2 linked regions of the Neurospora crassa OR74A genome follow. The protein of the gene in region 2 binds, or shares a complex with, the protein of the main gene of each other region. Links are inferred from orthologs where the notes say so. Each region holds a gene or a part of one and is shown on either strand. Other genes may lie near its edges.

Region 1 (3,855 bases), on a different chromosome or scaffold from region 2:
ATCGCGGTTTATGAGGATACGCCGGTCAGTACCATGGTGCAGGTTTTCCGGAAGCAGAGAGATATCAAGCCGGAGCAGACTGTCGTGATACAGTTTGACGGCGAGGAGCTGAACGAGAACATGCTGGTTGGGGCGATGGACATTGAGAGGGACGAGACCAATCAGTTTGAGGTCTACATCAAGTAGTGTATGACCTGGAGAATAAACATGGAGACTGGGTTTTGGGAGACGTTATTCGCACATTTCTTTAGCTGTTATGGGGTTGGAGTTTACCGGGCTTATTCGTCAGGCCTACGAAATCGGCGGTGACTAGTGGATTATTGTTTTTGCTTAAAGTTGTGACAGATGATTACGGAGTTTGGAGTGTTGCAAGTCCTTCCAGGACACGGTTCATGGTGCGGAGGTGGTACCCTAGCTCTTCAGAAGATACCCATACGTATATCACTTTTTGCTACGTCTTGCCTTCACTTTATTTCAACAAGCTTGATGAGTCATGGGAGTTGGTCAGTCAGAGCACAAAAAGAGCCTCCTCGGGTTAAGATGGTCTCATCCCACCTATCGTAGGTGAATATCGAGGGGTTTGACTATGCTCTATCTGCTATTTCGATATACGGTTCGCCATCTGGACTGTAAAACAAACAAGACCTTTACTTATGCGGAACAAGCGAGATAAGAGAATGGATGGAAATAACTACTACTTGTATGACCTGAAGAAACCAATCTATCGTGGCTCACCTGGCTACATTGGTGCCCATCACATCAGCTCCTTACATTTTGCTTGATTTGCCGTCACCATGGAATTGAACCTCAACCAAATGAGCGCACTGGATCAGTTTCCCACATCACTTTCTCTGCACAATAATCGACCTTGCCAGCCAATATGCACTAAACCGCCTTTTGGTGAATATCTCTGTTCATTGTCTTCTCTTCTCGTCCTCCGGGTATAGATCATAACCACACATTGAAAGATTCGCAAGGCGGTAGCTCCCCAATATCCCGTCCTCTTCCTCCCGCTTCTACACACCTTCGTAGATATCCCCAGCATGACTGACTGAATCGCCCATTTCAAACTCTCCAAACTCAAAGCAAAAGCATAATGAACTCCTAAACGCCAGAACCCTTTTTAAGCGTAGCTCCCGAAATGCCACCTTCGCCCCTTATGTGATGAAAACCGTCGATTTTTTGTTGACTGAACCATGCAGCCCCGTGCGTGAACCATTCATTAGGTGAGAATAGCGGCAATAGAAGTGTAACACATTGTTGCCGTTTTTCGTGAAAGAAAGAGCTTAGAATCTCTCCTTTTGCCTCGAGGCAATGATCCGGAGGTTGTTGTACACCTTGCCGGGCTGGTGTCCGAGAATGAGGGAGACGACGGACTCGCGGGCCATGCCAATGTTCTCGAAGGCACCGAGGATATGAACGCGGGAGCCGGCGAGGACGATTCTGGTTTTTGTGGCTTTTCACATCTTGTCAGTACTTCTGCGTCATCTCTTCCATTCTCCCATAATGGTGAACGTACCATTCTCAATCGCAAACTTGGTCTTTCCGTCCTTGCCTGCAATACGACCAATCGCACGTCCCAGAGCATCGGGGCCAAGGGTCTGACGGACATCCTTGACATCGAAGGACTGGATATAGAGCGAATCGAGACGGAGCAGGGCAATGGCGTCGTCAATGTCGAAGCCCATGGCGAAGGCGGAGACGAAATCGGCACCCATCTGCAGGGATTCGGGGGTGGTGGTGTGTCTGCTGGAGCGGAGCTCGACGCGCTTCTCCTTGATGTTCATGCGGACCTGGAGCTTGCAGTGCTCTACAAGTGGGGGGTAGCTGATTGGAAAACAGTCAGTCTTCCTTGCCCAAACATTCACACATGTTTCCGTAGTTTTCCGTCTCACATCTTGGTCCAATTGGCCTTGAGGGCCGACATGCGGTTTGGCGGGATACCAATTTTCCTGGTCTCTGCGCGGCGAATGATCTGGACGTCCTGGCCGGGGGCGAAACGGGGGCGGCCCTCCTCGTCTACAGCCATCTGCACATCTTGGTCATTGGAAGGGGGAGCGGCGGCGCTGGGATCGGTGAGGTTGACGGCCTCGTTGACATCGAGAATGAGCTCGTCCTCTTGCTCGGTCTGGATAGGAATCTGGGCGGCGGGAGCCTTGACAGGCTGACGAAGTGCTGTTGGCGCAGGCATGTTGGGCGAGATGTGTTGTTTATCGGTGGGTGATGGTCAAGGGGCCGAGTCGGGTTGTTTGTTGATTAAAGTCGGTAGTATTTTGGGAAATCGCCGGCCAAGAGTAATGGCAGATTTTTCGAAAATCGGGTGGAGGAGAGACTGGTGACGGGCGACGAAAGAAGTGTCGGGATGCTGGGTTACAGTCGTGAATTGCGGAGATCTGGGAGTCGAAGTTCTGCCTTTTTGCGCCGTCGGTCTCTAGAATTTTGATGTTTATCGATTTTGATAGCGCAGAGGGGAAATTCTTGACAAAAAGCAGTGGATCCACAAAAGAGTACCCAAGTGAAGCTTATCGATTGGCTGCATGGGGGCTAGGACCCTTGCCAATCGCAACGCCCATGCACTAACAGTTACCGAGGAATCCCTGTAATCCCAAGGTTAGCGTCATTGACGCACTTTTGACGGGGACCTGGACCGGCAGCTTTTTCAAACTCCAGGTTCTTGGTCAGAGCAGGAGCACCATCATATGTCATTCTAGACTCGGCCCACCACCAAGCAACAACATCTGATTTTCAGCCTCGAGGACCGACCATGGATACGGCACCGAGCTGTCGTCATCACCATCGTCGCTGAAAACATAGGAAAAAAAAAAGGAACAGGTCGGTCCCTTACTCGGTCGACAGTATGAATTTCAACAATGTCTACTAGCGCTACGACGACCCAGCTGGGCCGCCAGCTATGGTCTTCAGTACGAGATCTTCACACCACCTCGAATCTCTTCACAGCCGCGATACTGCTTCCAACTTGTCAGCCATTACTGAGTCGTCAAAGTCTTGGACTTGGCCCCTCGACATCGCTGGGGTCCCATCAGCGATACGGACAGCAGCAGAGCACGCGACAATTTACCTCTTCCGCAAGTCGCTTTTTCTTCCCAGCAACAAAATCGCAAAGACTACACTATCAACAGTCACAACCATCCCATAATGTCCTACGAAGCTGTACCTCCGGAGGCCTACTCCTCCTTGGGCTCACCACCAGCCCCTCTCCAACGAGCACGGTAGAGGCATCCGCACTATCCGGCAATGCCGCGCAAAAGGCAAAAATGGGCCACTTGGCTCGGCAGGCTTTACTCTTGCGAAGGATACGACAGAACACCACGACCACAACGTTATGCAAGACAGGAAAGCGATTCCAAAGTTCGGGCAAAGAGACCAAGGGTGATCATGACGAGACCAAGGCCGAAGCCAAGTCTTCTACAATTTCTCCTCAGCAAAAGTCCGAGCAACCACAGCAGCCACCGAATACCGAGACGGCTTCCGGTTCTGGTTCCCAGCCGACTCCCGCACATGAATCAATAGCAGATTCCATGTCTAAATACCTTCACCTTCCTCACCTCCCCCATTTGCCTCATCGGCCCACAAAAGAAGAGCTTCTGGCGGCAGCAAGCGGGTTCTGGTCGCGTCTCAAGGTCCGATTCAAGTGGTTCTCCATCAGGAGCATGCGCCCCTGGAACGCCGACGAATGGGGAGCGTTTGTGTCCTTCTTCTTATTCGGTCATTTGGTCTGGATTCTTGTTGGCACAACTACCTTCTTCTCCCTCATCATCCTCTTTATCAACACGGTGTTTGCCCAGGAAACGCTGGCCAAGTGGATCGGAGACTACCTGACCCAATCTGCTGGCC
Region 2 (3,461 bases):
ACCGCCCCCAGATGTTCATCCGCTCCGCCGACGAGTCTGTCTCGCTCACCTTCCCTGAGGGTACCGAGGATGCCGACTCCAAGATCGTCCAGCCCGGTGACAACTGCGAGTTGGTTGCCACTCTCTGCCACCCTATTGCCGTCGAGGCCGGTCAGCGTATCACCGTCCGTGAGGGTGGCCGCACCGTCGCCACTGGTATCATTACCCGCATCATGGAATAAGCTATCAACTACTCACTGTGAGATGTTGAGGTTGTAAAAAGCTATGTAATGATATATCACGCCGAGCCGAGCCTAGACGAGCCCCGGTAAGGTAGTAAAACACACACACGCACATATGCAAGGAAAAAGGGACCGCGAGCCGCCAAAAGAAGCGGGTTTGCCGTCAGGAGTTCAAAGAGAAATATACCTACAGTGTACGATGTAAAGCAATGAATGTTTATGGATCTGAAATGCCTTTTTTTTTATGTATTTTGTACAAAGAATGTTTTGGGTCCTAGTGATGATCTCTCCCCTCATATTCTTCTCTTATTGTCTTGTTAAGCTTGTGATATAGATGGTTCAAAAAAGCAATGATAGAAGCTAGAACGTACTAAGCGAATGTTCATGCCGTCTTGTGGTTGACCAAGTTAAGATAGGATATGTGCTTGTTGAGACTTGTGAGCCGAGCAGCACATGGATTCAATGGACAAGCGCTTGCTATGCTCAAGTCCACCACCATTGGTCATCAAGGTTCGCACAAGTTGTTCACCGACACTAGACGCAAATCATACGAAAGTCACAGATCACGGCTGAAGAGGGAGACGAGAACGAGACAGAATGCTGGTTGACCAAAGAATCACGCCGGTCTATTGATCGCTCGATGGGAGGGAAACAGACAGAGTCTAACCTCTGCTGTTCCTCAGTCCGCCGCCCTGTTCCTCTTTTGCTTGTGTTGACTCCGCAGGCCCCAAAAACCCGAATCCCGAAAGAAAACCAAGCAAAGCAAGCAAAAACTCCAAGGGATGTGATGATGAACAAAAGCATTGCTACTTTGTTCGTTTTCGTCAAGTGTCGTCGTGTCGTCTCGGGTTGTAGTTTGTCATGGATCAAGGCTGAACCCCCATTTTTTCGTTGTCGTTGTTCCCTAATCCATCTTTGTCGAGATTTCCGTCGTCGGCATGCCGTCTAACGATATAGGGACACACGTCGCGCGCGAACGAGACAAATTGCTTTGGCTGGACATTTTTTGCATTTCCCGTAGATGACGAAACGATTTGGAACTCGACTGTGATGATGCTGTGACCCTTTGTGTCCTCCCCTCATCATCGTCCCCTACCAAAACCTCCCATCATGTCAAGAAAGGGGGGATTTAGCGGTGCTACAAGAAAAGACAAGCGAGTTAGCCATGCGTCTTGTTTCTTTTCCCATAGCCCTTGCTTCACGCGACTGGGAACAGTGTTTGTAACTCCTTGGCCGTAGAGGTTCTCCTTTTCCCGCAAGATGTGCCCTTCTCTCGTTTGTGGCACCGCGGATTTTCCACTGTTTCCAGTCGCGTGCGCAGTTCCGCCCGTCTCCACCGTAATGTTTTCTCTTCTTACCTTGGTGAAGCCAATGTCGTTGGCCTTCTCACGGAAGCACTGACGGCAGATGTTGAGGCCGTACTTGCGGATGAGACCGGCAGAGTGGGTGCAGACACGGCTAAACAACGTTGAAGAAACGCCCGGTTAGCAACTTGAACTTCAGTTTTCGTCAAACTTGAGTGGTGAAGCCGCATTTTCCTCCTCCGTGATTTTCGCATTCTTGACTTGGTTTTCTGAACTCTCCTCCTCTTTCAAATTTTCCTCAAAAAGCCACATCGCCCTAGCATTGATCTTGCCCCAAACAGCAAAGTACCATGCCATATTCCCATCTCTTGCTCAGCTGTGATGTATGTGTAGATTGTGGATTGTGGATAATTGGTGTTGCTGGACAATAATCCTTACCAAGAGCGGGAGCCCTTGCCGTAGGTGCGGGGGCGGGAGTTCCAGACGGATTCGTGAGACATCTTGATTTTCGGGGTTTTGCTGTCGCAGCGAGAAAATCGTTGTCGTGCGGGCGGCGGGTTGACGATGACTTGGTCTGTCGGGCTGGGGGGGGAGGGGAGGTGGTTTTTTTCGCAAGAGGGCTGCCAAATATGGGGCGAGATTTTTCTGTGGGCGGTTTCGCAGGTCCGGTCCGGCAGCAACTGGCCCTCGTCCACTGCCGCCAGGGCTTGTGCACTTCGGGCTTGGCACGCACGCAGTGCACAGTTCAAGTCGGTTGCGTGGCAGCTGAGTGTGGCTGGTGCAGTGTGCAGTCCGTCTCCAGGCAGAGGAAAGAACAATTCAGTGGCGCAGCAGGGCCACCTCCATGTGTGGCTGGTACTGGCACCCAGCCTAAAAGTCTTATCGATAACAATAGTTCTCTTCTACCTATCTTATCGCGTTCGCGCACTGTTTTAGGAGACACAGTGCGGCTACAGCAGACTCAACTTGAGCTTCAACGAACTTGAAGGCCCCACCAATGACCGCACGCAGCATGCGGGGCTCCATCGACTCGGATGACGGATTTCAGGGGATTTTGGGGAAGCTCAAGAGCGCTGACACGACCAACTGGCAAGGATCCCAATGGTTCGACCAGTGGTCCGTTGCTGACCGGCGGACAACCTGGAATTATCGAGGTGCCAGCAAAGCGCAAAGTGGCATCTTAGGTCCCCGAGAAGGTCACATCTGATTTCAAACAGTCCATCTGGAGCTTTGCCAATTTAGGATACCTTGCCCATCATCTTGAGGTCCCTTTGCCACCAACATCTCGTGCCTGTTGGTCTTCTCTTCCCTTCTTCTCCAAGACAACCTTTAGAGCGTTTGCGATAATCAGCTTCATCCACACGCTTCTTCACACACCATGGTCCTTCTTAAGAGCTTGGTGGTAGCCAGCTTGGCTGCTGCCGTGGCGGCCAAGTCTGCCGTCCTCGACCTTATCCCCTCCAACTTCGACGATGTCGTCCTCAAGTCCGGCAAGCCAACCCTCGTCGAGTTCTTTGCGCCCTGGTGCGGTCACTGCAAGAACCTCGCCCCCGTCTACGAGGAGCTTGCTACCGCTCTGGAGTACGCGAAGGACAAGGTCCAGATCGCCAAGGTCGACGCCGATGCTGAGAGAGCGCTGGGCAAGCGTTTTGGTGTCCAGGGCTTCCCCACACTCAAGTTCTTTGATGGCAAGAGCGAGCAGCCGGTAGACTACAAGGGCGGACGTGATTTGGACAGCCTGTCTAACTTCATTGCCGAGAAGACCGGCGTCAAGGCCAGGAAGAAGGGTTCTGCTCCAAGCCTCGTTAACATCCTTAACGATGCCACCATCAAGGGCGCCATTGGCGGCGACAAGAACGTCCTGGTTGCTTTCACTGCTCCCTGGTGCGGCCGTACGTAACCTCCAAACCCTTTTTTTTGTTTTGTTACTTTCTAT

What was found.
Region 1: NCU03738 (region 2) and NCU07956 share a complex: the UniProt entries of both Schizosaccharomyces pombe proteins name them as parts of the small ribosomal subunit. The link is inferred for Neurospora crassa OR74A from reciprocal best matches to the Schizosaccharomyces pombe genes rps29 and pno1.

What each region holds. Positions count from the first base shown.
Region 1 is NC_026504.1:1,226,123-1,229,977, forward strand, and holds NCU07956 (pre-rRNA-processing protein PNO1), read right to left. Parts: upstream 2,443-3,855; 5' UTR 2,192-2,442; coding exon 1,896-2,191; intron 1,828-1,895; coding exon 1,520-1,827; intron 1,457-1,519; coding exon 1,287-1,456; 3' UTR 683-1,286; downstream 1-682. Other genes in the region: NCU07957 (hypothetical protein), read left to right, coding at 1-186; pod-1 (mitochondrion biogenesis protein), read left to right, coding at 2,871-3,855. UniProt on the Schizosaccharomyces pombe protein: Required for small ribosomal subunit (SSU) synthesis. Has a role in the processing of early nucleolar and late cytoplasmic pre-RNA species.
Region 2 is NC_026505.1:2,254,164-2,257,624, forward strand, and holds NCU03738 (40S ribosomal protein S29), read right to left. Parts: upstream 2,151-3,461; 5' UTR 2,026-2,150; coding exon 1,964-2,025; intron 1,680-1,963; coding exon 1,580-1,679; intron 1,360-1,579; coding exon 1,351-1,359; 3' UTR 805-1,350; downstream 1-804. Other genes in the region: NCU03737 (elongation factor Tu), read left to right, coding at 1-221; erp38 (protein disulfide-isomerase tigA), read left to right, coding at 2,904-3,417.